2 linked regions of the Oryzias latipes genome follow. The protein of the gene in region 1 binds, or shares a complex with, the protein of each later gene. Links are inferred from orthologs where the notes say so. Each region holds a gene or a part of one and is shown on either strand. Other genes may lie near its edges.

The links.
Region 2: the proteins of ercc6l (region 1) and bend3 are in contact, whole or in part, in a crystal structure (PDB 5JNO), measured with the Homo sapiens proteins. The link is inferred for Oryzias latipes from reciprocal best matches to the Homo sapiens genes ERCC6L and BEND3. Residues at the interface, in NP_060139.2 of Homo sapiens: Ala10, Glu11, Ala12, Leu13, Ser14, Pro15, Glu16, Ala18, Ala19, Tyr21, Leu22, Arg23, Lys26, Phe51, Pro52, Asn53, Glu54, Lys55; in NP_001073919.1 of Homo sapiens: Glu252, Gln255, Ile256, Gln259, Leu261, Asp265, Arg269, Val272, Gln273, Pro276, Phe279, Ser280, Phe335, Arg338, Phe339, Gln342, Glu346.

The regions. Positions count from the first base shown.
Region 1 is NC_019867.2:408,434-423,706, reverse strand, and holds ercc6l (DNA excision repair protein ERCC-6-like), read right to left. Parts: upstream 14,367-15,273; 5' UTR 14,193-14,366; intron 13,397-14,192; 5' UTR 13,265-13,396; intron 12,949-13,264; 5' UTR 11,752-12,948; coding exon 11,618-11,751; intron 11,005-11,617; coding exon 10,942-11,004; intron 10,468-10,941; coding exon 8,403-10,467; intron 6,978-8,402; coding exon 5,796-6,977; 3' UTR 5,744-5,795; downstream 1-5,743. Other genes in the region: ftcd (formimidoyltransferase-cyclodeaminase), read left to right, coding at 733-870, 933-1,064, 1,137-1,198, 1,265-1,391, 1,463-1,624, 1,697-1,740, 1,829-1,967, 2,207-2,302 and 1 more. UniProt on the Homo sapiens protein: DNA helicase that acts as a tension sensor that associates with catenated DNA which is stretched under tension until it is resolved during anaphase. Functions as ATP-dependent DNA translocase. Can promote Holliday junction branch migration (in vitro).
Region 2 is NC_019880.2:28,669,417-28,685,127, forward strand, and holds the end of bend3 (BEN domain-containing protein 3), read left to right. Parts: intron 1-7,138; 5' UTR 7,139-7,141; coding exon 7,142-7,193; intron 7,194-7,284; coding exon 7,285-7,466; intron 7,467-7,556; coding exon 7,557-9,767; 3' UTR 9,768-10,641; downstream 10,642-15,711. UniProt on the Homo sapiens protein: Transcriptional repressor which associates with the NoRC (nucleolar remodeling complex) complex and plays a key role in repressing rDNA transcription.

The sequences.
Region 1 (15,273 bases):
CGTAGGTTCATTTTAGGAGCCCTTGGTGGCTCTAGTTCTCTAGTGCCGTCAGTGAGCCCCCCCACATGCAGGGTAAAGGGGTGTGGGGGTTTCTGGACATGGACAACCTCAGGGCTTCCCGTCCATCTCCAGACATCTCTGTGCCGTTGTGTCCGTTATCGTTAGAGCCGTACATCCATGACATGGATAACCTTTCAGTTCTATGTAGATAAAAAGAACAGACTCACAGATGAGACAGAACCAGAACCTTTTGGTAAAGAACGGCTCGGCACTGATGACAGAACCGAAACCAGGTATTCAAAGGCTGCCGAAAGAGGGCGGAGCTTCTGGACGGCTTGACCGTGAGAATGTTATCATGACGTCTGGTGAGTCCAGCGTCAGAAAGCTGCTTCCACCATGACCCAAATCCCACGGTTCAGAACCCAGTCCACCCTGAATCCCATAGAACATCTGTAGAAAGTCTCAACACAGAACTATTTAGAAAGGAGTGGTCCCACATTCCAGCAGACAGCTGTCAGAAACTCCGTCGTGGTGACAGGAAGTGGAAGAGATTGGGTTCTGCTGACCCGCTTCATCCCGCCTGAGTTTAAATGAGAAACTTTTGCAGATAAACTGTTTTCTGACCCAACAGCCAGGCTGCTGGTCTTTCTGGTCATGACTGCAGATGTTTGTGGATAGAAGGAGGTATAGATGAGTGAACTTGCATCTCCTCCTCGTGTCCTCCTCGCTCAGCCCGGCCTGCTGAAGAAGGTCCAGGGGATGGGCTGGTACCTGGAGGAGGCCAACATCGCCCAGGTGTCCACCAACATCCTGGACTATGAGGTGACCCCCCTCCACGCCGTGTATGAGGAGGTCTGCAGGGCAGCAGAGGTGGGTGAGGCGTCAGCATGAGGTGGTCCAGGCTTGGGCCTCAGCTGCTCTGTGCCGTCTAGGAGCTGAGGCTGCCGCTGGTGGGCTCTCAGATCGTGGGTCTGATCCCTTTGAAGGCTCTGCTGGACGCTGCTGACTTCTACATTCACAGAGATCAGCTCTTCATCCTTGAAGAGGAGCACAAAGTCAGACTGGTGAGCACGGAACCGTGTGTGGAGACCCGATGAGCCGCTCCGACTGACAGAACCGCATGTTCTGGCCCGCAGGTGGTCAGTAAACTGGGCCTGGACTCCCTCGGCCCGTTCAACCCCAAGGAGAGGATCATAGAGTGAGTCTGATCGCCCACGCAGGAGCAGAAGGAGCGGGAGCTAAAGGTGCTGCGTCCTACATGCAGGTACATGGTGAAGGGGCAGGAGGAGGGGCAGCTGCGCTCGTTGACCCTGCGGCAGTTTGTTCACAGCGTTGGAGCTCGAACGGCGGCTCCGGGAGGAGGATCGGTCTCTGCTGCCATCGCTGCTCTGGTGGGAAATTCTCAAAGTTCTGACGGCGTCCACATCCAAGTCCTTATCGTCATCTTGCGTTTTACCTGTAGGGGGCGGCGCTGGGGGCCATGGTGGGGCAGATGACCTATGGGAAGAGGCAGTATGAAAACCTGGACGGAGTGATGAGGAAGCTGATTCCTCCTCTTCATCGGGCCATGAACGACTTCCTGCAGATGGTGGACGCCGACGCGTCCGCCTTCAACAGCTACATGGTGAGAACCCAGAACCTTCCCGCACATTCAGGACGACCCGGTCTGACCCAAACGGCTGTCGTGTTTCTGCAGGCGGCTCTGAAGATGCCAAAAAACACGGCGGAGGAAAAGAAACGGTACGGATGTCAGCCAGAAGGTGGCGCTGAAAGCTGCAGCACTTGGAGCCAACGTGTCAGTGGTTTTATGCTCCTCTGCTCCTGTCAGGAGAGAAGACGCCATGCAGGACGGCCTGCAGCAGGCGCTCGCCGTCCCGGAGGCTCTGGCGGAGCGGATCAGCGCCCTCTGGCCTCATCTGAAGGAGATGGTCGTCCATGGAAACATCAGCTGCAAGTCTGACGCTCAGGTGAGAATGATGCTGCAGGCGTGGTTCATGAAGCTCCGCCTCCTCCTCCAACGAGCACTGCAGACATTTTTGCTGAAATTTGAGTCTGGCTTTCAGACAGACTAGAGGCTAGAGTTGATGGATTATGTGCACGTTTCCTGTCCAACATAAATGCCACATAAGCTGTAGAGTCTGCATGCAGACCTTCAGGCCCCCCATGTGTGGAAACCATGAAGGTTCTGACGGTGTGTGCTGTCCAGGTCGCAGCCAAAGCTCTGGAGGCGGCTGCCTTTGGAGCGTACTACAACATCATGACTAACCTCACCGACGTCACCGACGAGGCCTTCAAAGCAGCGGTACGTACGCCCACATCTGCTGGCAGCCTCGCCTCCAGGCAGGCCCTGACCTCCGGTTCTGGTTCTGCAGACACACAGGAGAGCGTCCGCTTTGCTTCAGGAGGCCCGAGACGGCGCTGCTGCTGTCCTCCGCGCCGCTGAGACCAGGACCTGAAAGGCCTGAAGGAACTGCAAATAAAAGCTTCCCTCAAACGCGTCTGTGTGTTTGTAGAGGCAGCAGCCGGACCCACGGGTTCAGGAACCGGGTCAGAACGTCCGAGTGTGCCATTAGACAGCAGGAAAACCGGTATCTGTTGGAAGAGGAGCCATTGGCCAAAACCAAACCGATTAGACCCCAAATGTGAAACGTTTCTTTAACCAGAAAGAGGAATGTTCTTGTTTACAATCAGCTGAAAAACTTAAATCAGTTCCATTTTTAAAAGATTTTATTAACTTTTTAATAGAGAATTAATCTACAAATGTCATTTTAATTCCTCACTGTAACCCTTGTGCTATCCTAGGCACTTTAACGTTGGGAGTGGGGTCATCTAGACCAGTGTTTTTCCACAAGTGTGCCGTGGAAAATTGCCCTCATTAACTGATCTAAAAACATTTCCATCTCCAGGATTTCAGCTCTCTGTTCATCCAAACAGGCCCTGATAAAACACTGAGGAGTTAGGAATATAAAAGATCGTAAATTACTTTTTCTTTGCGTTTATTTTATTTTATTAAATACATTTTGATAAGAACGACGTACCGCGATTCAGCTGCACCTTCGGCTGTATTTTGGAAAAGTCCCGTCCCTTTAACTGTCTCCACCAATCATTCCTGGGGGGCTTAATCACATGTCATCAGTCTGACCAATCAGAAGTGGTTAAAGTCTTCACTTCCTTGTCCCGATTTAGCTCGTAAAGTCGCTCAGTTCTAAAAAACATAGCAGCTAAAGCTCGTCTTTAGCGGTGTAGCTTTCCACAGAGTCCGGTATCAGACCGTGGAACAAGTGAACAAAACCATGAAGCTCCGAAAACCGATCTCTGGCCGTTTTATGCACTACATCTCCCATGATGCATTGGGTTGTGAGAGTGACAGGGCACAAGGAGATCTGTTGTTAAACGTCTTGAAACCAACGAACACACAACCAGTTTTTAAATCTTCTAACTTAACTTTTATTTAATCTGTTAGAAAAAAACAGTTTCCAGCTTTTTCTGACACAATTATCTCAAAAATGCATGTAAGATTGTGGAGGGAGGGGCTGTAGATCAATACAGACTAGAGTTTCTCCTTTTTTTTAATTTTTGGATGCTGGTGTGCCGCGGGATTTTTTTTAAGGTTAAAGTGTGCCGTGGCTCAGAAAAGGTTGAAAAACACTGATGTAGACCCACTAGACAGTTGGGTCATCTAGACCCACTAGACAGTTGGGTCATCTAGACCCACTAGACCAGGGGTCGGGAACCTTTTTGGCCAAGAGAGCCATAAACGCCACATATTTTTAAATGTAATTTCGAAAAAGCCATACAATAATGTAGTGTCCTTTTCCCACATGGAGACTTAACCTCTTTTAAGGTTCTTTATTCTGGTTAATGCAGGCTGTAACAAATGCCGTAAATTAATTCAGCAGCTCCTGAATCTCTCCTGCCGAGACGAGAGCACTTCTCCCAACTTTATATTCCCCCCTCCCGCTCCAGGCCTCCCATTTCCCTTATTCGGCCCATAGCTGAACCCCATTGGTCCAAATTAACTAACAACAGGCTGAGCGACAGAACTAAGAGCCAATCAGATCTGTGCTTGATGCGTTCAAGGAACTCCAGAACTTTTAACGCGGCCCAACAGCCAAGTTAAACTCAGTCCGCTACAATATGTTTAAAACTAAATATTCAAGTGAATGTGTGCATTTGATATAATTTCAACACTTTTAAAGTACAATAAGTCTGTGGATTATTTTTAATAACATTGTTATGCTGTTGCTAATAAATGATGAGTATTTCTCGTGGTGGTTCTGCTGATGGTCTAGTCTGGTTGATACGTGGTGAGTTTCTGCTTCGTTCAGGCGTTGAGACTTTAAACGTGATCTTAGGTCTGAATGTTCTGTAGATGTGAGACAGACTGCTCACATGCAGACGTGGAGCCAAACACACACTCACACGCTGCAGTGAGTGACGGGCAGCAGGTTTTATGTTTTTACAATCCCTGCGCGGTTCACCTGCTGTCCCCACAACCCCTCACCCCCACCCTCTGCTTTCTCCCTCACACATCCCGTCCCCGCATCTGCGCGCTCTTTCTCAGAGACGGGAGCGCGCAGTTTTAGGCACGGCAATTCACAGGTTTCCGGGTGGTACAAACTCTGTGAATTAATAGATAATAGTAAAGTGATAATGCTGGCGCAGATCCTTCTCTCCAAGCACCGCTACTACTGCGCGCCTCTGCCATCGCATCGCGCCCGAGAAGGACTGGTCTAATGAAAAAGAAAAAATTAAAAATGTGTCTGCGAGCCACATGTGACCATCAAAAGAGCCATATATGGCTCGCGAGCCATAGGTTCCCGACCCCTGCACTAGACAGAGCTCTGAACCTTTTTTCTTCAATGATTTGTGATCTTCACTGGTGTCCATAGATTACATGAAATCTTTCCACCTTTATCCACCTTTGTCATGGTGGGGGGAACACCTCAATGGAAGGGGGGGGGGGGGGGGTCATCTAAGATAGCACAAGGGTTAACCCTTCAACTCCAAATCTGTTTTCAAACTGTAAAACAGCCCCCCCACCTCAGTCCAGGGCTTTTTCACTCAAAGGTCATCAAGATTCGGTGATCAGTCTCTCATTGGGGCGGGTCCCACCTGGCTGCCTTTCCTAAGTCCCGCCTCCACTTCCTCTGATGATCTCAGGTGATGTCAGACCATTCCTCACAGCAGCTCCAGGTCGGTGGATCAAAGGCAGGCAGGACCCCCCCCCGTGAGAGACTGACAGGCTGCAGAGTCACACAGGTGAGGTCATATAAAAGAGGTGGGCGTGGCTCCAGGTGCATAAAGCAGTCGTTACAGTGAGACACAGGTGTAACATCCAGGTGACTCCTGAATGCAAACACATTTACACCGTTGAATCTAAACCTAAAAACCTGTAGGCGGATGAAACGTAGGAAAACCATTTTACCCAGAATGCTCTGATAGGACAGGAACCCGGGGGGGGGGGGGGGGGTTGAAAAACACTGAACAGGATGTAAAGCTGATGGAGGATGAAGACGGATCACAATGAAACCGGAGCAGAACTTCAGCCTGATGAGAAACATCAGGATGCTGATGAAAACTCCGCCCCTCACTGACTGACGGCGGCCTCACAGCTGGACCCCCATCAGCTGATTGGCTGGTTTTGAAGTTTGCCCCGGCCGTCTGGGAACATTCCTGAGGTCCATCTTTCTCTGTAACGTCATGGTTTGATGAGTGAAGCACAAACGTTCAGACGGCTGAATCCATTGAAATGGTTTTAATGATCAACTCCACACTAAAAGACATAAAACTCTTCAGGGTCTCTGGCTCAGCTGTCGGTACAACTGGATGGTCATGAACTGGACCTCCGGGTCTCCGGGCCGGATGTCGATGGCTCTGAGGAAGAAGCTCAGCGCCTCGTCCAGCTTGGCCTGGCTGTAGCTCTCTTTGCCCTTCTTCACCAGGACCTCGTAGCTCTCTGCGGCACAGAGCGGCTCCTCCTTCCTCTGACACTCCGGCTCCTCTTCGATCTGCAGGTTCAAACTGGAGCCTTCTTCAGCCTCCTCTTCCTCCTCCATGTTTAGAGTCTCTCCATTCATGTCCGTTTGAAGCTCGTCCATGTTTCTTTCTTCAGACTTGAATCCAGAAACATCTTCGTCATCCTCGTCCTCATCCTCCACATCCTGGATGATGGACTGAAGCAGAGACCGCCGTGACACCACAGAGGCGTTTCCCCCCACGCTCTTTCGTGAGTGGCGAGGAGCTGCTGACTTGGGCGTGGAGGCTTCAAGAACCTGGAAGGAGCCATCAAGTGGAGACTTCAGCTCTTCCTCATCGCTGTCCTGAATTGTCGGGGCTCTCTTCTTCCTCACCCCCACCACCGAGTCCTCCATGGACGTGTCCTCCTGGCGTCTGCTCCAACTCTCTGACAGAGACTTGTTGACATTAAAGCTGCCGTCCATCAGAAGCTTAGCCAGCAGCTTCTGCTCCTCTTCCTCCATCTCTTCATCCTCCACGGCTCCACTGTCCTCCAACTGCAGCTGAAAGTTTCCACGAGAAGAATCTGGGTGGAAGCTCTCTTCAGAGCTGGAATCTCCTTCTGTCAGGGGGGGGGTTTGGTGCAGGTCCAGCTCAGAAGGGATTTCACCGTGGAGATGTCTGAGGTCATCAGCAGAGGTCAGGACGCCGGCGTCATGTTGTAGAGAAGCAGCAGTCAGAGAGGCTCCTCCACCAGCACCTCCAGGTTCTGGTCCTGCATCTAGAACCTCACACTCGTCCTGGGGGGGAGGGTCTGCAGTCAGATCAGTCACTTGGAGGGACAGAGGCGGTCTCCTGCAGCGTTCTTCTGAAGTGTCCAGGTCCACCACCTCAAACACGCTGACCTCAGACTGTGGAGGTGAACGGGCCGCTTTGGGGTTTCTGGGTTTGTCTGGGGGGGGCGGATGCCTCAGCCACGCCGGCTCTGTGCTCGTCGCCATGCTCTCCGCCATCTGCATCTGCAAACAGAAACATTCTCAGATGAACACGGCACGTCTGACAGGTGAGCCGTTCCTGACGGAACCAGACGGAGGGCAGTAGATCTGCAGGATCCGCTGGATCTCCTCAATGCTTTTGGTTGTGGCACAGAAATGAAAACAACCTTTGGTGCACAGTGACATTTACCGATCAGTCACCCTGACCGTCACTGTGGATAATGAAGCAGATAAAGGCAGAACCGTGTCGGTGTTTCCCGCTCCACCGTCCTGCATGTTGTCCTGCTCATGCACACCTGAGTCAGCTGATCAGACTCTGCAGAAGGTCAGGTGAAGGTCAGGTGTGTTTGAGCAGGACATTGTTCCCCGAGGACCAGGGCTGGGAAACACTGGTCTATGTGATGAAACTGAAGCTTCATCTCTGAAGGTAGAACCATGGAGAACAAACTTCTGCCAAAGGGAATCCAGAGAACGCTCCAAATTATTATGCAAATGGTAGATATGACAAAAAGATCCAATTCTTTGTTTTCCATTTAAAAGGATGGAAGGTGTTGAGTCTCTGGTCTGTTTGGATCACTGACATCAACCTCAGACACCTGAGATGATTAGTGTTCCAGGTGAGTTCAATCAAAGGAGAAACTACTAAAGGACGTTCCAAGCAGTATGGAAGAAAAAGGATCTCTGCTGCTGAAAAGCCTGAAACAGTCAAACGCCTCGGTCAAAGTATGAAAACTGTGGTTATTTCAGGAAAACCTAAGCATGATCATCGTCCTATGAAGAGATTCAGAGACACGCGTGTTGCTGCAGATAAAGGGGGAATGAGCAAGTTTCTGCCAGCTGAGCAGCTACTGAAAGCACAGATCTGAAGCTGCTGGAGTCTCTGGGGGTGTTGGATCCTCCGGAGACCAGCAGCTCTATTGACCCCAGAGAAGTGGGTGGAGCTTCTGACTGACCACTTTCTTCCCTGGTACCCAAAGAACTGTGGTTTCCTGCATGACAGAGCAGCATCTCATGCTGCCTGGAGTCTGCATCACTGGCTACTACAGGCAGAAAAGGAGAGAACTGATGGTATGCCCCCCCCCCTCCCCCACCCTATTGAGAACCTTTGGAAATATGTTTCAATATGTTTATAGAAATATTTTAAAATCTATATATTTGTTTGAAAGTAAAACTGATTCTTTATCATTTTTACATTTAAACGTTAATGCAAAACATTTTTCCAAAGGAAAAAGTTTTAAAGACAAGACCAAAAATGGTGTACTTTATGACATCATGCTTCAGTTTATTTAAAATAAAGTTAAAATGATCAGAATGAGGAAATTCATATCTGAAAATGAAAACACTCATTTCTCAGCAGATCTTCGTCTCTCTAAAGCCGCTCAGCCTCACCATGAATTCATGAGGACAGAAACTTGTGGGTAAGTGAGTGTCTGCTCAGATTCTACCCACCTGTACCTCAGACTCCGCCCTAACCAGCTCCTGAGCCTTCTGGACCCGCCCCTCGATGTAGTGCTGCTCCTCCGGGTTCTCAGGAGCCTCATCTGTGTTCACGTCCACGGAGAACATCAGGTCGTGGTCGGAGATGCCGAAGATCTCCATGGTGTGGAGGTGGGCGATGTGCTGGTCCAGCTGGGGGTCCGTCTGGCGGTGCCGCGAGTGCAGCGCCTGCAGCTGAAGCTGCGTGGAGGATGAACGCGTGTCCTCCAGGGTGAAGAGCTCCTTCAGCTCCTGCTTGCTGAAGTACCTGAAAGGGTTCTTCTTGTCCCCCGTGTTCTGTCGGATCAGGGAGTCTTTGAAGACCTGCCGCCTGTAGATCTTCTCCTCCACCGTTCCGCAGGTGATCAGCCTGTAGATGACCACGTTCTCGGTCTGGCCGATGCGGTACGCCCTGTCCACAGCCTGGGCGTCTGTGGCCGGGTTCCAGCTGGGGTCGTAGATGACCACCCTGTTTGCAGCAGTCAGTGTGATGCCGACGCCCCCCACCTGGGTGGTGAGCAGGAAGACGGAGTAGCTCCGGTCTTTCTGGAACAGAGAGATGAGCCGCTCTCTCTCCGTTATCTGTGTTATGGTTCCATCCAGCCGGAGAACTTTAAAACCTCGGTTGTTGAGGATGCGCTCGATGATGTCCAGAACTTTCCTGTAATGAGCGAAGATGAGGGTGCGCTGGCCTTCCTCTCTGAGCCTCTCCAGCAACGCCACAAGGAAGGCTAGTTTTCCAGACTCTGAAATCAGCGTGTGGTCCGGCACATCTGCAATGCCGTGAGCGGCGGCGTCCGCGGCGTTTTCCTCCAGACCCAGCCTCGCTAAGGCGTCCGTAGAGAGCAGTCTGGGGTGGTCGCACAGCTTCTTCAAAACGGTGAGCTCAGCCAGAGGAGACCTGGTGGTGAGGAGCAGCTCCTTGATGCAGTCCAGGTCGATGAACTGCCTGTAGATTTCCTCCTGAACTGCGCTCAGGTAAGTCCAGACAATCAGGTCGTTTTTGCGCTTCAGTTGGGGCATGGCCGCGGCGGGGTCAGGTTGGTCCTCCTGGTTCTCTGCACTGCTGTGCAGCTTCTCCTTCTCACACAACTCATTCCTTTGCACTTCAGCCTTTGTCCTCCGGAGGAAGTATGGCTTAATTATGGCCATGAGGTTATCGGACATCCGCGAGCCCAAGGCCTTCTCCCCCGGGGTGGCGTCCTTCTCTCTGGCTCGGGTGATGGGGTTCTCATACTCCGTCTTGAAGGTCTTACCTGTCCCCAGGAGAGTGCCTTGGCAAGCAAAGTCAAACAGAGCCCACATCTCCCGCAGATTGTTCTGGACTGGCGTTCCTGTCAGCAGAACCCTGTTCTTTGACGGGATGGCGTAGGCGCTTTTGGCCGTCTTGCTGGACGTATTTTTGATTTTGTGCGCTTCGTCCAGGATCACGTAGTCCCAGCAGAACTCCTTTCCCTGGTAGGAGGACAGCTGCTGCCAGTTGTTCAGCAGCATGTTGTATGTGGTGATGACAACGCCGCTCCTCCTTTGAACCTTCTCCAAACTTCTGGTCCGTTCTGCTTTGCTGGCGCCATGAAACTCCTTGACCCTCATACCAGGAGTCCACCTGGAGAATTCCTTGATCCAGTTAGTGATGAGCGACGTGGGCATGATGAGCAGCGTGTGTTTGATCAGCTCATTGTCATACATGCCAGAGAGGAAGGAGATGACCTGGATGGTTTTCCCAAGTCCCATGTCGTCGGCTAGAATCCCGCCTTTGCGTCCGTCTCTGTACAGCCCGTACAGGAAGGACACGCCCTCTCTCTGGTAGCCGTACAGCTTGTCATGCAGCTCCTTGTAGAGCATGAAACCACTGTTGTTCACGTTGACAAACTCGTCATCCTCATCCTCAGAGTCATTCTGGGACAGAAGCTCTTGGATTTTCTTTATCCTGTTCTCCAGCTTGGGAGTCTGGTGGACGCTGAAGGCCAGTTTAAAGAGCTCCAGCGCTTTCTCGATGTCCCCTTGTTTGGCAGCATCTTTACCTTCAGAAATCAGTCTGAAAGAAACGACTGAATATCAGCCTCTTTCCTTTTAACATGCTCTCAAACTATTGTTGTTTAAATGGAGCCACAGAGAAAAATCCTCTGAGCTTCTAGACTTTTAAATATTCATGTGTGACATAACGTTGTCTTTGCATAGATGTTACAGACACAGCAGAAATGCAGCAGAACATCACTTTATGAATGAAGACAACGTCTATGTCATTAAAGATTCTGTTCCTACTTTTTACTCATGGCGTGAACTAAAAGGTTTGGTCTTATTTGCAAAGCAAAAAACTGTCATTTGTGGTTTGGAGCTGCAGGTTCTCTTCATTTATAAATGTGTAGAAATAAAATCCAGACATTTAGATTAGCAAAAACAAAAAGAGAAGCATTTTCACTTAATTAATTAAGAGGTATCTTAGCATCTCTATGGGATGTATTGAGACATTTGAATGTATCGGCACATTTAATCAAGAGTCTCTTAATACCTCTGATACTTTTCCATCGCCTCATCATCATCTTCATCAGCAGCAGCCCTGATAGACAAAGACCTGCAAGGCGAAGAAAACATCCCATAAATGAAGCTTCATCAAAAACAACCTGAACTTACATGACGACGATGAGACAAAGTTATTAAAACATTATATTCAACTGACAAGAGAATTTATTCTGGACTCTTAGTCAATCAGTTATAAAAACAAGCGCGCACGCGCACGGACAATATAATAAGAGTGCCAAGAACACACAAGATAATAGTCATAAAAAGCCGAAATAAGTATCCAAACAGAATCACAATAAAAAGTAAAACAATAAAGATTCATTAAGTATCTATTTATCCATGATCTGACCTTTTATGTCCTTCATGGTTTTTTTCTGGTCACGTTTTCTGAAGTTTCACTAAATAATTAAAGTTTGTCTCATCATCGACTGAACTGCTGGTTAGTTTGACGCGGACAAATGTCGAAGTTTCTCTTTTGAATTCAAACGGTCTCCTGAGTCCTGACGCTGCTCGAGTCCTTCACATCAGAACCTTAAGCCCACGCGGTTCCGCTGAACCCAATCGGGTCTGTGGGTTTTGAAAGCAGAGCTCTAAAGTTTAAGCTAGCTCACACTGAGGCTACCGGCTAACCTACCAGTCTTCATTTTTCTTGTCGATATACTCACGTTTCCAACTTTTCGGAGACCTCCGTAACCTCCCGGTAGTTTTCCGGACGGTCCATGGCGCCGGTAGTGTTCACGCCGGAGGAATAGAAGCGGGATTCCTGCGTTTCAGGAGCGAACGAACCCGGTAAAACCATCGATCTAGTCTCAGCGGGGCGAACGTCTCAAAACACAGGCTTCCTCCCGCCAATTTCTCAGCCAATCACAGAGCACGCTCTCGACGCGCTGATCATGTTTTATCCAATCATGATTTGTCGACACAGACAAAGAGGCGGGGCCACAGTGAACTTCCGCTAGTTCCACAAGTGGTGGGATTTCTTTTTAATATTTATATTTATTTAAATGTTCGAAACACTTTCACTGAATAAATTGAAGAGAAATGCATTAAAATCTCAATTAAGCCCTAAAATATCCTTATGTATTTGATTTACAACACTTTTTTCTTCTTAAAAGAACTTTTATTAACAATTGACTTAGATTACATAGAATAACATTAACATAGATGGACTGATGGTGGAAATTAGTTTCGTTGCTAAACTGGAAAAACGTTCAATCTTCTGTACTCAGGCTGTGTATAAAGTCAGCATTGATACTTTCCCCTGTCTTTAGTTAAAAAAACTTTAGTTTAAAAAAGTTTAGTTTAGTTTAAAAAAGTTTAACACTGTAAAAAACACATGGGGGGGGGGGGGACACACATCCACACACAAACATATCCTTTGGTAGCATGAACACACATGCATGTTCACACTCACACATTACAGATCAACACACACGCATCCCATATCCTGGAGAGCAGGTACCTGTGCTCAGGTGGGTGTGTGTTCTACTCTGGACGCTGGTATTATGGGATGCAGGGAGTAAAACAAATTAGCGAGCACCCAATCTACACCAAGCCCCAGCAGAGGGAGGGGCGGCAGCAGCCTGGACCCCCCAGAAAATCAATGTTCATTTAGTTTATAGGATAAATGTGTTTCTAACAAACGTCAGTTCTGCTGCACTGAGACAAGAATCTTCATCTTTATTGGAACACGGCCAGACGTGAAGCTGCTGCTGCAGAAGATTAGAATGACGTAAAAATCATTCAATCAGATAAAAACATGGGATGAACTTTGAACTGATCTCCTCCAGAAGCAGAGAGGAGCGGATGGATCCAGCAGCAGGACTGTGACACCTGGACGGCTCCTCCGAGGACTTTACCAGAGAGGAGCCGTCTCCAGAGCTCTGACCTGAGCAGCAAAAACCACAACATTCTTCTGAACCTCTGCGTTGATCTGGGCCTGCGAGGCCCGCGGGTTCTGCTGGAGGAACTGCACGATGTTCAGGATACATGCTTTCTGAGGAGACAGAAATGACAAAATCGTTAGACTCCTGCCGCTCTGCAGAAACTATGTCCTGGAAAACTGTAGCTCCGCCATTCAAAGTTCTGCTCTAAGTCCTTCATCCTGTCTGTCCTTTGCTCTGCCGAAGAACACGCCCTCCTCCTCTCCTTCTTCCACTAACGGTGGTCCCCCCCCCCCCCCCCCCCTTAAGGTCAGCAGCACCGGTTGTTGTTAATTTGGCCCCAGGACCGATCGGGTCATAAATCACAACCCCCCCATTGCTGCTACAGGAGCCCCTCTGAGGATCAGAGTTCTGCAGCTGCTTCAGCACCTTGTAAGCATCCACTTTGTCCTGGCCGGTGATCCGGTTCAGCAGCTCCCCACCGACCCGTAACCCGGTCACCACAGCCAGAGCCCGGCGATCCTCCTCCGTCTGAGAGGTCAGGTACCGAAGGAAGGCCACCTGCAGGAGACAGAACCTTACTTCAGAGGAATCCAACCTTCCTCCCCAAGAGCACTGGCGTGAAGCAGAGGCTCTAGGAGCAGGTTCTGACGGACCCACGGGTTCTATTAAGGTCTGAGGATCACATGGAACATCATCCAACTGAGCTCCTGTGGAGCTTTGGAAGAACTTCCTGTGTCCAGTCCAGCTTCATTTCTGTCTGTTTCACGACAACATTTGAGTTTAGATCTTTCCCCAAAACTCTGAGATGCTTCCAGAACCACTGAGAAAGGAGACGTGTTCTGTTGGATCCATGTTTTTCTGCTCCTCAGAACCAGTTCTGGACCTGACCTCCTCTGGGGACCAGATGTGTCTGAGCTGAGGTTCTGCTGCTCCGTCTGTTCTAAAGATGGACAGATTCACGTTTTTCCTGCTTTTTGTTGGATGTTCTTGGAGCTGAACGTCCAGGAGCTTCAGTCCAGAACCAGAACCAGGACCTGGACCGGAACTGACCGACCCGAGTCCAGACCTGCTGTCTGGCTGACAGGAAACTCTGCTCACCATAGTGGATGATTTTAGCCAGTTCCTTAAGCGCAGAAGTAACGCGTTATATTTAGTCACGTGACTGATGTCATCGTTAACAACTGCATCGTTACCTGAACGTGAAATGATTTTACCGGAAGTGTCCATTTCTATTCCCACACCTGGATCACGAGCCTCTGCTCGGTTCGTCCCGAACCCGATCAGAACCTTTAGCAATGAATTCGGTTCGTTAGTGTCCCGGGTCCGCTGTGACCCGTCCGTTCGTTTTCCTTACCTGCTGAAAAAACTCCGCGCTGTTCATGACCGCAGACACACGTTTACCGCCAAACACGGCTCGACCCTGGCGTCCACGGGTCAGTTTTACTCGTTTTTCTAACACAAACTACTTCCTGTTTACTTCCGCCTCCGTGTGGAGCAGAGAGCGCACAGCGCCCCCAGCGGCAGTTACTGGGACTGACTGCAGTCTGCGACGCTGCTGACGAGTTCGAGGCTTTTGGTACGTGATAGTTTTATTGTTTATGACGGCCTCCAGGCTTCCGTGTGTCCAATGAAAGACGGTTTCGAGCAGAGACCAGAACACCTGAGGTTCACAGAGAACCAACCTGCAGACCAGAGTTCAGCAGGGCGGTGCTGTGGGGGCAGGGGTTCTCCTGAGCCGAAGAACCATGAGATGAGAAGCAGAACATTGGACCTTTGACAAAGAAACCTGATGGTTTTTTAATACGGTTCTGGAAGTAATGACAATCACTACATTCCAGAATCTTTAACAGCTGTTTCTAAACTCCCCATCCATCATCTGGGGTTCGGTCATGGGGGCAGCAGTCTAAGCTCCCCTCCAGCTCCTCTGGGGACCCCGAGGCATTCTCAGGCCAGCCGAGAGATGGAATCTCCACATGGAGTCCTGGGTCTTCCGCAGGCCTCCTCCAGGTGGGACATGCCCCGAACACCTCCCCAGGGAGGCGTCCACACGCTGAGCCACATCAATGACCTCCTCTCCCTGTGGAGGAGCAGCAGCACACTGAGTAGGGATGGGTATCGTTAAGGTTTTAACGATACTACTACTCTTATCGATACTGCTTATCGATCCGGTACTCTTATCGATACTTTTTGAGGACGAAAATAAATAAATAAATAAATAGCAAATTAAGAACATAAAGTGTTTTATTTCCTCACTATGCAACAGCATTGTTTTTTTAACAAAACATTTTACTTTATACATGAGAATGTTCCAGACAGGATATTTATTTAATTATTTAATCTAATTGTTTTTATTATTTATGAGTGTGATGTTTCATTTGATCTTTTGTCCATTTTCCACAACCTTGAATATAGACGTTTCTGTCTGTCAAACACCA
Region 2 (15,711 bases), on another chromosome or scaffold:
CCTGCTCTCAGTTGAGCACATAAGGATCTTTGTCCTCTTTTTAAGTTATATATAACATATGGCTCAGCAGAAAATGTGTCCTTAATTTGCAAATAAGTTCGTAATTTTGGTTTTTGAAGCAGTTTCATTTTCCAGTCTTTTTCATAATAACCAACTAAAGTTTCCTTAACATTATCTATCTTACATTTCAAACAATTAAAAAATAATGATTGTAGGTTCACAGACGACAGAATGTTCAACACATCTTTACACCAGGGATAAATATGAGCTCTATCCCAATCAAATACTTTACGTGCAAGTCTCTCTGCAGGTAAAGTCACCAGCCGGTTCCATAATCTGAGAACTTCTGCTCTTTGTTTGATCACACAAGGTTCCCACCCCATGTCCCCCTCAATGGCGGCTTTAGTGGTGAACCTGTGTACACCCAGAAAATATCTCATTGTATTGAACCTTATCACACTCAGGAGCGTCTTCATAACCCCAGACTCCTGGAGAATAAAATAACACAGATCCCACCATGGCATCGTACAATTTACCAAACGTGTCAAAACTCAACTCAGGACAAACCTTCATCTTATTTATCACTGCACCAAGCGCCCTCCCAGCAGAATCTGATAACCGCTGCTTCCCTTCTGAGAACATCATATTTTTATGAAAAACAAAACCAAGATATTTATAGGTATCAGTAAACATGAGAGTAGTTTTACCAAAATAAAACAGAAAATTACTTTGAGGTACTAAAGGCTTTCTAAAATGAACGATTTGTGTTTTATCACTATTGATAGTGAGTCTCCATTTGTTACACCAGTTATTCATTGTATTTAACATTCCTTGTAATTTTATTTCCTCATCCGCTATCAAAATAATATCATCAGCATAAAGTAATATGCTCAAGTTCCAGTTATTGATATCAATACCCAAGTTAGTTTTCTTAATTTCTTGAGCTAAATCGTTGACATAGATAGAAAAAAGAGTTGGTGAAAGAACATCTCCTTGTTTAACTCCAAATGGTGTGGAAAACCATCCTGTTTTTAGGTCATTCACCTGCACACAGGCTAATGGAGCCTTATACAGAGCTTTAATTGCTTTATAAAATTGACCATTAATACCATACATAAGTAATTTATATTGAAGAAGATCTCTGTCTATCGAGTCAAATGCTTTTTTTAAATCCACAAAACAAACAAAGGTACTTTTACTTTCTTGCAATCTAGCTCTCACCACCGAGGACAGAACATAAATATAGTCAATACACGCTCTATTTCTCCTGAATCCATTCTGCTCCTCTACAAGGACTTCGTTTGTTTCTAGGTATTCAGATAACCGATTATTTATAACACTAGAAAACACTTTATACACGGTACTCAGTAGGCTAATGCCTCTATAATTCAGAGGGACTCTTGGGTCTGCTTGAGGGGATTTTGGAATCGGCTTGATGATCGATTTATACCAAATAGATGGTATAAAGCCATTCTTAAAACAGAATCTAAAGAGAAAATGTAAAGTAGTTAACAATTTGGGACACTTAAGAACCTCGTTTGATAGTTCATCCACACCAGCAGCTTTATGAAGTTTAGTTTTCTCAATGACTTTTAGAACTTCCTCAATTGTAATATCTTGATTTATTTTGTCAGAGTAGTTCAGAGAAATTTTTAAACTATTGTCTTTTTGGATTTGCACATATTCAGAAAAAACTGGTCATCAAACAAGTGGGAACTACTATTACAGGTAAACAAGTTCTTATAATCTGACTCCCACTTGTTTAACACTTGCTCTGCTAGAAAAACAGATTCTCCAGAGTCTGTTAAAATCTCATGCGGAATTGGCCTTCTACTTTTAGGTCCTAGTTTATTTATTTCCCTCCAAAATAACTGTGATTTATTATTTTGCAAATGCAGTTGTAGTTGAAGAGCTTTACCCCCTCCTGAAACGTCTTTTAAATAATTTTAACTTCTTATCAAAATGACTCTGACAGTTTTTAAACACAGAAAGAAGCTCTCTTTTCAGAACCATTTCTTTGCATTTTAAATACTTTTTCTCTGATAAACACAGTTGTTCCCATAGACTCTGCAGTTCATTGTTCCAGTAAGGTTGATTTCTTTTACATATTCCTTTATTGCTTTTATATTTCTGTTTTGGTCTATTTTTATCCAATTCTTTACACAAAACATCACAAAACCAGCCATAGCAATGGTTTAGATTTTCCTGTGTTTGTCTACCTTCCCTCAGCTGAAGACCAATTTCACATAGAGACTCACAACAGACTTCTGACTCCAGAAAGTGAACAGGCAGTTTTCTGATTGGCTTTTTATTTTGTAAACCAGCTTGCATATTATTTGAAAAATTTGTTTCAATAGTTTTAAAACGCAAATAGAGAACTGAATGATCGGGGAGTTTACTTCTGTCATCAATGAGGTTCATCAGATCAGACTTGTTGCTTTTTATCAGCTCCAGAGGGGTGAGAACTTTAAATTCAACACACTCGTTTAAACCAGTGTGCGGGGTGACAATGTAATCCACCACAGCTTTACCCTTAAAAGACACAGAGGTGAAGCAATCATTCTCTGGATTTACCCTCCCATTCAAAACACAACATTTAGAGTCTTTAAGAAATTCAACAAAAGCGTGTCCATGATTGTTTAATATCGTGTCTAACACAACTCTTGAGGGAATATCATCCTCATCCACAAAATCTTTTAAGCATCCTATACGACTGTTCAAGTCTCCACATATATAAACAGAATCAGCATCAGATGCATAAATTAGTGAAAGTAAATGGGCAAAAAAAAAGATCAGCATTGCGCCCCCAAGTAGAGGTTTCAGGGGACAAGTAGCATGAGATTACTTTAAACGAAAATTGTGACAAACCATGTTCAAAACGTAAAGACAGAATCCCATCATAGGTTTTATCAATCCTCAAAGAAAAACTGTCCAAGAGAGTATTTTTCACAAATATTCCCACACCCCCAGATGCTTTAACAGCTTTTCTGTGCACAATCCGATTGTGTCCAATCCAAGTAAAGCCATCCAGCTCCGGTATCAAATTGGATAGATGAGTCTCATTTAAAGAAATAATATCAGGCTCTAGCGACATGAGAATATGCGCTCTTAGTTCACAGTTATTCAGCGTCCAGCCGTTCACATTCCAGTGAACTAAAACAAATTCAGTACTTACAGGCTGAGCACTGTCTCGTCACACTCCTGCCCCACGCTGCACTGGACTGCTTGACGTTTGGGCCCGTTTAATCAATCGCCCATTTCCAGCCACATAGTAGTCTTTAGCCATCGGGATTTCGCGCAAAAGGGTGCGCAAATTTGTTTCCATGAGTCTCTCCGCGTGAGACTTTGCAGATGACACATAAACTCTCCTGTAGTTTCCATGATCTTTTAGCTTTGACTTCAAACGAAGAACAGCCACTTTATCCTCCACCGATGCGAGCTCCACTTTCACCAGGCCTGGTTGCCGTCCTCTCTGCCTTACGCGCTCCGTGGCTACCAGCGTTGGCACCGGGTCACAGTGCAATCCATCCTGCAGCAGCTCCTTCACTTTAGCCTCGAGATTTTCTCCATCCGCTTGAGGCAGCCCGACAATAATCAGTGACACGTCTGGGTCAAAAGATTTTCCCCGCACTTCTCTGTTCCTCATTTTAGTTTCAATATCGTCCATTCTGGAACTCATAATTGAAACTTCCAGATCCAGATTATTGCGCACTTCCTTCACCCCCTTCTCCAGCTCACTTTTAAATGCAGCTTGTCCGTCAAAAATGATTTTTTCCAAGCTTCCCCGGAGGGTGTTCATTTTTATATCCATCTGTGTTTCAATATTGCTTTGCATATTGTCCATTTTTGTCTGCATTTTATCCATTTTGTCATTGAGTGCTCTCAGTTCATTCATTAAGGCGTGCTCACCGTCGGCGTCTTTCTTACGATGACGTGTGTTATCTGCCATTTGGGCTTCAGTCGTCCACAAATTATTGCATCCAAATTAAGACTTTTTGAACAGAGCGACAAAGTTCTGTTCAAAGTTCAAAGTAATCTTTCAAACCCAAAATCAATCTCCTCGCTGCAGCACCCACCCACAGGCCCCAGCGCTCCAACTCCTCATTTGCCTTCCTGCTCCTGTGGCAGTCCTGGAGCTGCTGTGATCAGTCATGTATAAATCAGGATAGAATGATTTATCGTGTCAAAAGCCTTCTTTAAATCAATGAAAAAATCTATTGTGTATTTCTTTTTGTCAATTGCTTTTGATATTTCTTCAACTATTTTCATTACAGCCAAACCTGTAGACCTATTAGAATGAAACCCAAACTTATTCTCACTTAACAAATTTTTTTTTAATAAAGCTGTCTAGTTTGTTCACAAACAACTTTTTTAAAACTTTTGAAAATTTGGAAAGTAATGATTCTGGTCTGTAATTATTAAAAGTATGTCTGTCTCCATTTAAAAAAAAAAAGGAATACCTTTAGCTATTTTCATCCTCTCTGGAAAAATTCCCAATTTCAGTGAAAGATTAATGATATGATGTAGTGGTTTGACAATACAATATATTGTCATTTTTATTATTTTCATATCAATCCCATTACTGTCCTTTTGAGGTCTTGTTTTTCAGTTTGTATACTGTAGTCAAAATGTCATTTTCAGTCACATTGGATAAATACATAGATTGGGAAATTTTCAGTCATTCCTTCATTTCATTCAGTCAAACAAACCATTTAGATGTTGAAAAATAGGGGAATGATCCCTGGATTTTGCCCCTGGTTGGATCTCCCAGTGTTGGAGTTAAACCCGGTGGACGAGAGGGTTGTGTCCCTTCGCCTTCTGGTGGGGGACAGGCCTCTGGCAAACAGCACTTTGAAGTACCCGTCCTTCTTGGTGTCTCTCGAAGGGGTATAGGAAAGTGCCCTAATGAGGAACTCACTTGTCTTCCTGGGGGATTTCTATGCCCGTGTGACCAAGGAGGGGCGGGATTGGTAGTAATGGCCTTCCAGATCTGAACCTGAGCCACCGCTCACCGCTTTTGTTGTTGAACTTCTGTGCTCGTCATAGTTTGTCCATAACAAACACCATGTTCAAACACAAAGGTGTCCATCAATTCATGTGGCATAAGGACACCCTAGTTTGTAGTCGTTTCAGGTGACCTTTGGCCATGTATCTTGAACACTCTGGTAAAAAGAGGGGCAAAGCTGTCCACCAATCACTACCTGTTGGCGAGTTGGATTTGCTGACAGAGGAGGCCGGAAAGACTTGGCAAACCTAAATGTACTGTGAGGGTGTGCTGGGAACGTCTGACTGAGCTCTCTGTCAGGGACGTCTTTAACTCCCACATCCGGGAGAGCTGTGGCCCGGGCTTTTGTGAAGGCAAAAACTAAGTCCTGGGAGGAGTTCGGTGAGGCCATGGAGAGGACTAACTGTTGGCCTCGAGGAAATTCTGACAAACTGTCTGGTGTCTCAGGAGGGGAAGCAGTCTTCTGCTGGCCCTGTTATTAGTGCAGGTGGGGAGCTGTTGACTTTGACTTGGGACATTGTGGGGTGGTGGAAGAAATACAATGAGGGTCTCCTCAACCCTGCTGACACATCTTCTCTCGAGGTAGGAGAGGCTGAAGACTTTAGGGTGGGGCTGTCTATTACCCGAGCTGAGGTCACTGAGGTAGTCCACAAGCTCTTTGGTGGCAAGGCTACTGAATAGATGAAGTTCGCCCAGAGTACCTCAAGTCTCTGGATGCTGTAAGAGTGTCTTGGCTGACATATCTCTGCAGCACTGTGAGGCAGTCGGAACTGTACCACTGAACTGGCAGACGGGTGGTTGTTCCAGGGAATCACTCCTCAGCCTCCCTGAAAAAGTCTATGCCAGGGTACTGGAGAGGAAAGTCCATCCGATAGTCGAACCTCAGATCCAGGAACAACAGTGCTGTTTCCGCCCTGGTCATGGAACAGTGGAACAGCTCTACACCCTCTTTGGGGTGCTGGAGTGGGAGTTTGCTTATCCAGTTTATATGTTTTGTGGATTTGGAGATGGCTTTCGAACATGTCCCCAGTGGTGTCATGTGGGGGGGCTCTGGGAGTATGGGGTCCATGGAGCCTTACTAAGGGCTGTCCTGTCTCTGTATAGCCGGAGCAGGCGCTTGGTTCACATCGCTGGTGGTAAGTCACACTTGTTCCTGGTACATGTTGGACTCCAGAAGGGCTGCCCTTTTAGGTTCTGTTCATAATCTTTATAGACAGAATTTCTAGGCACAGCCAGGGGGCGGAGGGGGTGTGGTTTGGGAACCACAGGATTTCCTCGATGCAGAAGAGTGAAGATTAATGGAAAATTAGTGAAGATTGGAGTTTAAGATTGACAGGCGAATTAGAGCGCCGTTTGTGTAACGGCCCTTGTAGTAAAGAGAGGGCTGAGCCAGAAAGCAAAGCTCTTGATTTGCTGGTCGATCTTCGTTTCGAGTACTGATGGCGTACCATGGGCTCTTGGTCGTAACAGAAAAAACAGGTACTAAATACAAGCAGCAGAAATTAGCTTCCTCCATAGGGTGGCTGGGCGCTCCCTTAGAGATGGGGTGAGAAGCTCAACCACCCAAAGAAACCTCAGAGTAGAGCCGCTGCTCCTCCACATCGAGAGGAGCCTGTTGACGTGGCTCAGGCATCTATTCCAAATGCCTCCAGGAGGCATGGCACTGGCTGAAGGCCCAGGATCCGCTGGAGAGACTACGTCTCTCGGCTGGCCTGGGAACTTGTTGGGGTCTTCAGAGGAGCTGAAGGAAGTGGCAGGGGAGAGGGGAAGTCTGGACATCTTTGCTTATATACCTTTGCTGCCCCAGCGACCCTGTCCCGGATAAGCGGAGCAGGATGGCTGGATAGATGACTGAGACAGTCTGGATGTACTTATTAAATGTGTTCATTTTTTAATGTGTTAAAGAAGTATCGGGTCGGGGCTATCTATCGGCAAATACTCAAAATCCAATGACTCGGAACTTGATCAGGGCCACCCAAAAAACCTGATTGGGACATCCCTGATCATGCAGTCAGACTTTAAACTTTTTTTTTCCTTTGAGGGGGTGGGGTGAGGGTCTCCTTGTGTGTGTTTGGTTTTTAGTTCCTTTTGTTTTACCTACAGAGATTTCACACATTTCTCATTGACTTTTAGGCTATGAATTCCTGTGAACATGGGGAAATTTCCGATGAAGCCATGCTTGATAAAGGTGAGTTAATCTCATTGATGAAATTGTTGTTGCCAGGGCAGTTATTTATAGTAAAAATAAAAAAATAATACAAATATATCATGATTTCCAGAAAAAAACAATGTTCAAGAGGTTAAGGAGGAGATGGAAGATGTTGCGGTTTGTGGACAATCACAAGATGATAAAGAAGAAGGAGCTCCTGCTACTACAGAGGTCAATAAAAGGTCATCTGCTGAATTTTGCTCTGATACACATCAGTCCACCAGCAGCAAAAGACCTAGAGTCTCTAGTGAGGTAAAACGAAGCCAGTTTACAACATTTAAATTCTTATATTGATATGTGTTTAGTAATATTTGCATAATTTAATTCTTTTTGTTTTCTTAGTCGAGGAAACGCTTTATAGGTGATGGCAGCAGGTACGAACCCCTTTGCCTTACCACAAGTGCAGACAAGGAGGGTATCCAGGAGAAATCCAGCATTTCATACAAAAAGCCTCTTTTTAGCATCTTGCATAAAATTTCTGACAGGAGGAACACGCCGAGTCTGGAGCAGCAGGTCAGTCACGGAAACCTGAATCAACTCAACCTAAGCAGCAGCATCCTGTCGTCCAACCTACAAACTCCAGAGCAAAACTGCTCAGAGGAGACCTTCCCAAACACACAGTCAACTAGCCACACCTCAAAAACAGACTCCAGCCTTTACCCGCTGATTGAGAAAATGTTTTTCATTCTCAATAGCTTGAATTCAAGCATGACTCAGCTGCATAGTAAAGTGGACTTGTTAACCCTTGAAGTCATGCGGATAAAGAAGCAGATCAAACAGACAGAGATGGTGACAGAGTTCCAGCCTCCCCTTGAGTATCAGCTGACGCATAATGAATTGAATCAGCTGATGGAGCAGACAGCCAGTCCAGGAGAGCTCAGCTGTCAGCTGCTCGTCCATCTTTTCCCAGAGTTGTTCAAAGCCAGGGAGTGCTCTCATGAGTGCATGGCAGGCAAGAGAACCCTGGAATCTCTCCATCTGCAGCTGATTCGTAACTATGTGGAGGTATGCTACCCCTCTGTCAAAAACAACAACATTTGGCAGGAAGAATGTCTTCTCCAGATTAACGACTTTTTTAATCGCTTCTGGGCGCAGAGGGACATGGAGAGCGCCCGGCTGCTCAGGAAGCATACAGAATTGGGCGCTGGGACAAAGGCAGACCATCCTCAATCTCATAGTATCAATGAGCAGGATCAGGGGGAGCATGGGTCTGTGGACAACCAGCAGGACTCCCTTGGGAGGTCTGACATTGGATTTAGCACAGAAGAACTGGACGAGCTCTCCTCCCCTGATGACTTTGTCATCCTACTCGTGCACCGTCTTTTCCCTGAGGTTTTTGAAGAGGCAAAAATACCAGAAGGCTGTAGTAGTTTGACCAACATGGGACAAGTGATTCTGGAGTCTGATAAGATGGAGATTTTAAGAAAGTACATGGAAACCTATTTTCCTGATGTGCCTGAGGAAAGCTGGCTTCAGGTGTGCATTCAACATGTAGAGTATGCTCTGGAGGGTCCCCATAGCAATGGTAATGGGAGTGAAACGGACAACATGAATGATGAAGGCTATGATTTAGCCAGCCTTCCCGATGAAGATTCTATTCTAAAGGTTCCAGAATATGACAGGCCCAGTCGCAAATCCAAAAAGTCGCTTCTTCCACTAGTGGATTTTGACAGTTTGGAAATTCCCTCGCCTGATTTCCCGGCGCCACAGGAGTACATGTTGACAAGAGAGCAACTTAAGAGCAACTATGAATGTAGCTTGTCCATTGGTAACTTTGCATCCAGACTACTTGTACTCATGTTTCCTGAACTTTTTACCCACGAAAATACTAGAAAACAGTACAACTGCAGTGGCTCTCTGGGAAAAAAGCAGCTCGACCCGGTCCGTGTAAGTCTGATCCGTCACTACGTGCAGTTAGTCTACCCACAAGCAAAGAATAACAGAGTGTGGATGCTGGAGTTTGTGGGTAAGTTGGATGAAAGGTGCAGGAGGCGTGACACAGAGCAGAGGAGGTCGTACCTGCAGCAGCGTAAAGTTTACAGTCACGAATCAGAGCAGGACTTTCTCTGTCAAATGAGCCGCCTCCATCCAGACAACCCGAAAGAGGATCCCGACATTCACTCCTTACCCCCTGAGAAAAGCAGCAAAGACTTTTGTAAGATTCCCCTGGAGGAGCTGACTGTGTCCAAACCAGACTTCCCTGTTCCGTCCACATACCTGCTGTCAGACACAGAGATACGAGAGATTGTTCAGCAGAGTCTCTCTGTGGGTAACTTTGCCGCCCGCCTGTTGGTGCGCCTTTTCCCTGAGCTCTTCACCCAGGAGAACCTGCGCCTACAGTACAATCACTCAGGAGCTTGCAACAAAAAGCAGCTTGACCCTGTCCGACTGAGGCTCATCCGTCACTATGTGGAGGCAGTGTATCCCGTGGATAAGATGGAGGAGGTGTGGCACTACGAATGCGTGCCGAGCATTGATGAACGCTGCCGGCGCCCCAATCGCAAAAAGTGCGACATTCTTAAAAAGGCCAAACGGTCCAGCACCATGTCTTAGTTCCAGGACGTTACACTCTTTGTCATGAAGCAACTAAACAGAAGCTGAAGCTTTTTTCTTTGATCCTACCTTTGATTTTATTCACTGGCTGCAGCAGCAGATGTTTTACATTAGGTAGTCTTGTTAACGTTAGACCTAAAACTCGTCTTATTTATAAGTCAAACTATCCTAGCTCGTCTAACTAATTTTGTTCGTAAATGTTGCAGCCTTGAAAATAACAATAGTAGCTAAAAGCATAGGTCACACAGTTTTCTATATTAACAGAGTTTAGCCACAATGTGAAATATTCCCATTGCAGTTATCAATGTAGCATTGTGCCACTTGTGTTGATGCTATTGTACTTCCAGCTGAGTCCCTGATTATTTGTACAGGAACATTTTAAATGTTCTTTCTGTCACAAGGGGTTTAAAATGACAAGTTTATGTTAAAGAACTTTCAAACAAATCTTTAAGACACAAGTGTTTTTTCCACCTTACTTTAAATATGAATTGATTCAAAAGTAATAGTATTTTAAAAGAATTTATTGAAAAAAATAAAGCATTTCCTTTTGTAATTCCCGAAAGCTTTCCTGTTTTTCTAGGATTTTTCTAATTCTGAGTCAAACACCATAAAAATATTAGCAGTTTGACTCTTCATATTATTTTCTGTTAAAAAATTTTAAGTAAAATAGAAAAAATATTCACATAAGTCATATCTTAATTGGCAGATTAAAAATCCAATATGGTGGCATATAAAGGCAAAACTAAACATTGTCCTAGTCCGGATGTTTATGGACCACTGTATGTTAAGCCTTCTTATAGAAGTTTGTAATATAATTTAACATGACAGTTGATCATGGTAGCATTTTTCTAATAAACCACATTTGTGTAAATGGTATGTGTGGGATTTGTTCTGCCTGATCTGACATTTGTGGTTGAAGATTTATGATTTGGACCTAATTTATGACTCCTAAATAGGCAGCAGGTAGACTTTCTTCTGAATCTAAATGGTTTAAAGGAAAAGATAATGAGGTGCAACATGAGATGAGAAATACAAAACTTTGGTTTTTTTTCTTTTAAAGCCACAAAGATGTAAAGATGTGAAAAATATGTATGTATTTTTGCAAATATGCATCCTGTAATCACGACCTTTATGGCAAAAAAGTCTATGCTCTGTCACAAATTCTGCAAGTTTTCTCACCTAAAAAGATTAGAGGTTAATAACATTTACTGGGAGAGACAATGCAAGAAAAGAATCCTGAAAATCACACTGTATGCTTTTAAATCATTTATTTGTATAATGGTGCAGAAAACAAGCTTTAATTTTCTACCAACAACAAGATTTCTATTCCTCACAGACCTGCTACTACTTCTTTAAGAAGTTCTTTTATCCTGCACTGGTCACCTGTAATTTGAATTAGTTATCTGTATGAAAGACACCAGTCCACACCCCCTAAACAATCAGACTGTAACTGTTCCACCATAACCAAGACCAAAGAGCTGAAAGGACACCTGACAAGATACAAGACTTGAACAAAAATGAGATAAATCAAACTACAGTTAAACAGCTTCATGAAAAAGAACCAACAGGTGAAGCAATTATTAGAAAATAGAACATATATAGACCCGTTTAAATATCATAGAAAACTTTATTCATTTTCATAATTCCAGTAATGTAGACACGAGTGGGTCCAAGCCAAGGTATCATTGCCGGTCCCAAGACTGGATAAATACAGAGGGTTGTGTCAGGAAGGGCATTTCATGTAAAATCTTTGCCCATCCAAATATGCGAATCAGACTTATGATATCCGTACAGCATCTGTCGAGGCCCGGGTTAGCAACGCCTGCCATCGATGCTGTTTATTGACAGGGTGCTGGTGAATGAGTGTATGTGGAAACATAAATAAACTGTTAGAGCCATTTAAACATTCTACAACGTTTGTACTGGATTTTGTAAAAGAATAGGTCAACTCGGGAGCCCAGCAGTTCTATTGGCTGAGAGAAACAACATTGTTGATGTGCCTTGTTCTTGTTAGCTTAGTGAAGCTATAGAGCTAAGAGAGCTCAGTAGTTTTTGACCAAACTTTAACGTTTATATGTTTTGTACCATAATTTGTTTTTTGTCACAATGCATTTGGAAAGTAAACATCTAAACATGAAGATCTTGAACTGTGGAAGCTCATTTACAAAAGAAGCGTCATCTATAGGCTCTGACTCTACAGCTTAAGTGTGCCTTTCAGAAATTACACGTAGCCACACTTACACAAACGACTCAAATCATTACAACCAGAAGGTATACAAAGAAATCCAAATCCTTTTGACTTCCTATGCCCAACTCCTAAACAGAAAGTTAAGGCCTTGGCCACCATTTTGTTCTTTGGGCACCAGGAAGAGAAGGTGGGGAAACATGACTAAATTAAACGAGTGTAAACATTTGATGGTTGTGTTTTAGATACATGATGTGTCTAAAAGTGATGAGCAATTACAGAGAAGTGACAAATAGATACAACTACTTTGTCCCCCTTTTAAAAGTCGTTATTCATCCAAGTCACGGGACAAAAAGTCTGTCACTATGTTCTGGTGTCCCGACTTGTACTTTACTTGAAAACAAAATGGCTGGAGACATAAATACCATCCGATGATTCTAGCATTAGTGTCCTTCGTCATGTTGTTTTTGCTTTTCAAAAATAAGCTGGACACCTGGGGGGTATTCCAGGAAGCTGGTTATGCTAGCTCCCACGGTAAGTTTGAGGCTAAGGAAGTTGATAACCTCAGTTTTCGGTTCCAGAAATGGAGGTATGTTTCAGAGTATGTCAAGTTGCCTGGTCGGGAGCAGGTTTAGTTGAAGGTTAGTTTGTTTACATAGAGGTGAAGCAGCATGGCGTGTCCATTTGAAGATGATTTAGTGGATGAAGAAACTCAGATAATACTTTTTCCACCGTGAGAGGGTGATAAGACCACATATGAATGCTGGAAAATTAAACTTTTTTACTTTGATCTAACTTAGTTATTTGCTTCAGTTAAGATAAATATTTTTTTTAAGTCAGTTTAAAAATAACACGTAGTTATCAGACAGTTATTTTACTTTCATTCAAATTAATTCAATTAAGTAGGTGTAGCTTTGGTGCTGCTGTTAGGTCGGCACCGCAAGGGATTGTGGGATACCATTTCCTTTGCCTGTCTGGACGGATTTTGGTTTAAGTGTGGCTTTTTGACCAAATGTGTTTAGTTGTTTAGCTGTTTTACTGTGTTTTGCCGTGTTTTGCTGAGTTATTTTGTCCTACTGTGCTTATGTCTCTGCACCATGAGTGAGAGTGAAGGAGAGGATGATGAGTTTATATAGCACCCCTACCGCTTATTGCTGTAATGACAATGACGGAGAGTTCTTTAATGAATTTGTGCGCATCTTGCATTTTTTTTCCGTCCTTTTGATTGAGCATATCTGCCGGCTCATACTTAGACATATGAAAGATCAAGAAATATAATTAATTAAGATGGAAAAAATATTAATTGAATTGGAGTAATATGACATTTAGTTAGATAAACACATAAATTTGAGTTGTATAAACAATTATTGAGTTTTATAGACGTAAGAAATTAGGTTGATTAAATTTAACTCAATTATTTGTCACCAATAGAAGTAGTTCATTCAACGTGGCAAAATTGGATAAGTTATATATATGTATGCGTCACAAGGAAAATGGAAATAAGATCAGAAACTCGTGCGTTTACTTTGTCTGTTGTTCTACTACAAGCAGAAACTCTTTCTTTTGATGATGCAGCCGTGTTACTTTTTTGATGGATGTATAATCTTCATATGCCGTCATCAAAATCTCAGACTCCGTCTCACTAAAGTATAGCGCTCTCTTTGGTTCACCACGCGTTTCCATGGTGACTCTGGAAATCGGCGATCTATTGAGAATGTCTTTATGTACTTGACATGCACGTGCATTAACCCAGGGTTACTAAGTCGAGCGTAATTACGCCAACTCGTATCCGGTCTTTTGGAACCGACATACCCAGAGTAAGCAAGTTCAGGCGGATTTCAGCCAGAGTTCAGGCTTAAGGTCAGGCTAGTTTAAACATGCTTCCTGGAATATCCCCCTGGGATCATTTTTTGTCAACAAGTTTGTTTGTGTTTGGTTTGAGGTCCTGTGATGTAGAAATTCACAGTCTAGGTGCTCATCAGTGTATTTTGTTGGGCAGCTGAAGCGCTGCAGTATGGGATCTCTAGTGAATGTGAATATCAGCGCTACACTTCGACGGGCTATTGATAACTATAATATAAAATGATCTCGCGGGCTGGATTTAATTACATGGCTGGCCGAATGTGGCCCTTGGGCCTCGGATTTGACACGTGATCTAATGTAAGGACAAAATGGGGCAGGAGAAGATGTCTTCAGCCAGTGACGTGCATACAATAAAAAAGATGTATATACTTTTTTAACCCTTGTGCTATCCTAGGCACTTTAACATTGGGAGTTGGGTCATCTAGACCCACTAAACAGTGCTCTGAACCTTTTTTCTTCAATGATTTGTGATCTTCACTGGTGTCCATGGATTCCATGAAGTCTTTCTACCTTTATCTACCTTTGCCATGGTAGGGAGAACACGTCAATGGAAGGGTGGGGTCATCTAGGATAGCACAAGGGTCATGCATATCCTGACTAAGCTGCAGCTGATGCACGTGCTTTGCTGATTCAGTTTTTCTATTATCATAAAATATGCTTTATTTTTAATTACTTTGGGGGTTTTTTCTCGTCAACCGTCTGGTTACATTGGTGCATGTTTGTGACCCATTTATTTCGTCTTTTTTTTTATCCAGTATAATGAGCATTAGAAATACACTAGGTGAGGCACGCAGCACGCGCTCCTCATGGCAGAGGGCACAGGTGATCCCAAAAAATATGACAATAATAGGGGTAGCAAGTCAAGTGCAGCCGTCCAGGGGCCTCATTTATAAAGGATTTGCGTCAGAAGTGGTGTACGGATGAAACATGCGAACGCACAGAAATATTCGGATTTATAAAACCGTGCGCACGCACATCCTACGCATCTTTCCCTTAATAAATCACAACCAATTCTAAATGTAGCGCAGCTTTTGCGGCTTCATGACACGCCTATAGTTGCCCATAAATAGTCCGTGAAACGCCCAAGAAATTAATATTCATTGATTGCGAAACCATGGCAAACACAGAGAGGAAATCAAAAAAACGTAACTTCACTCAATGTGAAGTAGAAGTTATCGTTGGCGAGGTGGAAAAGAGGAGAAAAATGTTGTTTGGAGGGCACAGTGTGGGCATTACTAATGCCAAAAAGGCACTTGAGTGGCAAACGGTGGCAGACGCCGTAAATGCTGTAGCCTCACAACCTCGGACCGTGGCCGAAATAAAAAAGAAATGAAAGAAATGGTCGGACATTAAAGTCGAGGCGAAAAGACGTCTAGTGCTCCATCGCCAGGGTGTGTCTGCCACGGGGGGGGGGGGACCTCTTGATGAGAGACTGGCGGCTATTAATGGGGAATCCCTTTTAAGTGGAGTGGTGACTGAGGCGGAGGGGGACACCGACGCGCCAGATGCACCGGGTGACACAGGTAAGAGAAAATAATAAAATGAATGCAGTCAAGTCACATGCAGGCTACACAATTACAGTTTATTAATATAGAACAATTTTATTTTAGTTGCTGGGTGTTCCAGCGGGGCCAGTGGTTACGATGTTGCAGCTGAGCAGCCGTCTGGCCCCAGCGTCTCCAAGGCACGCGGCTCTCAACCCTCCAGCAGTGGACGTGTCCTCACCGATGCAGTCCTTGAAATGCAGAGGGAAGTCATTAGTTCAATCAGAGAGGTGGCCAAGGAGTTGGGGCGAAATCAAGACTGCCCTGACTGAAATAAACTGCACGATCAGGGAATCTTGAATAAATAATATTTTCCACACCTTTTGTTGTTCTTTACAAGCGACGCATCACT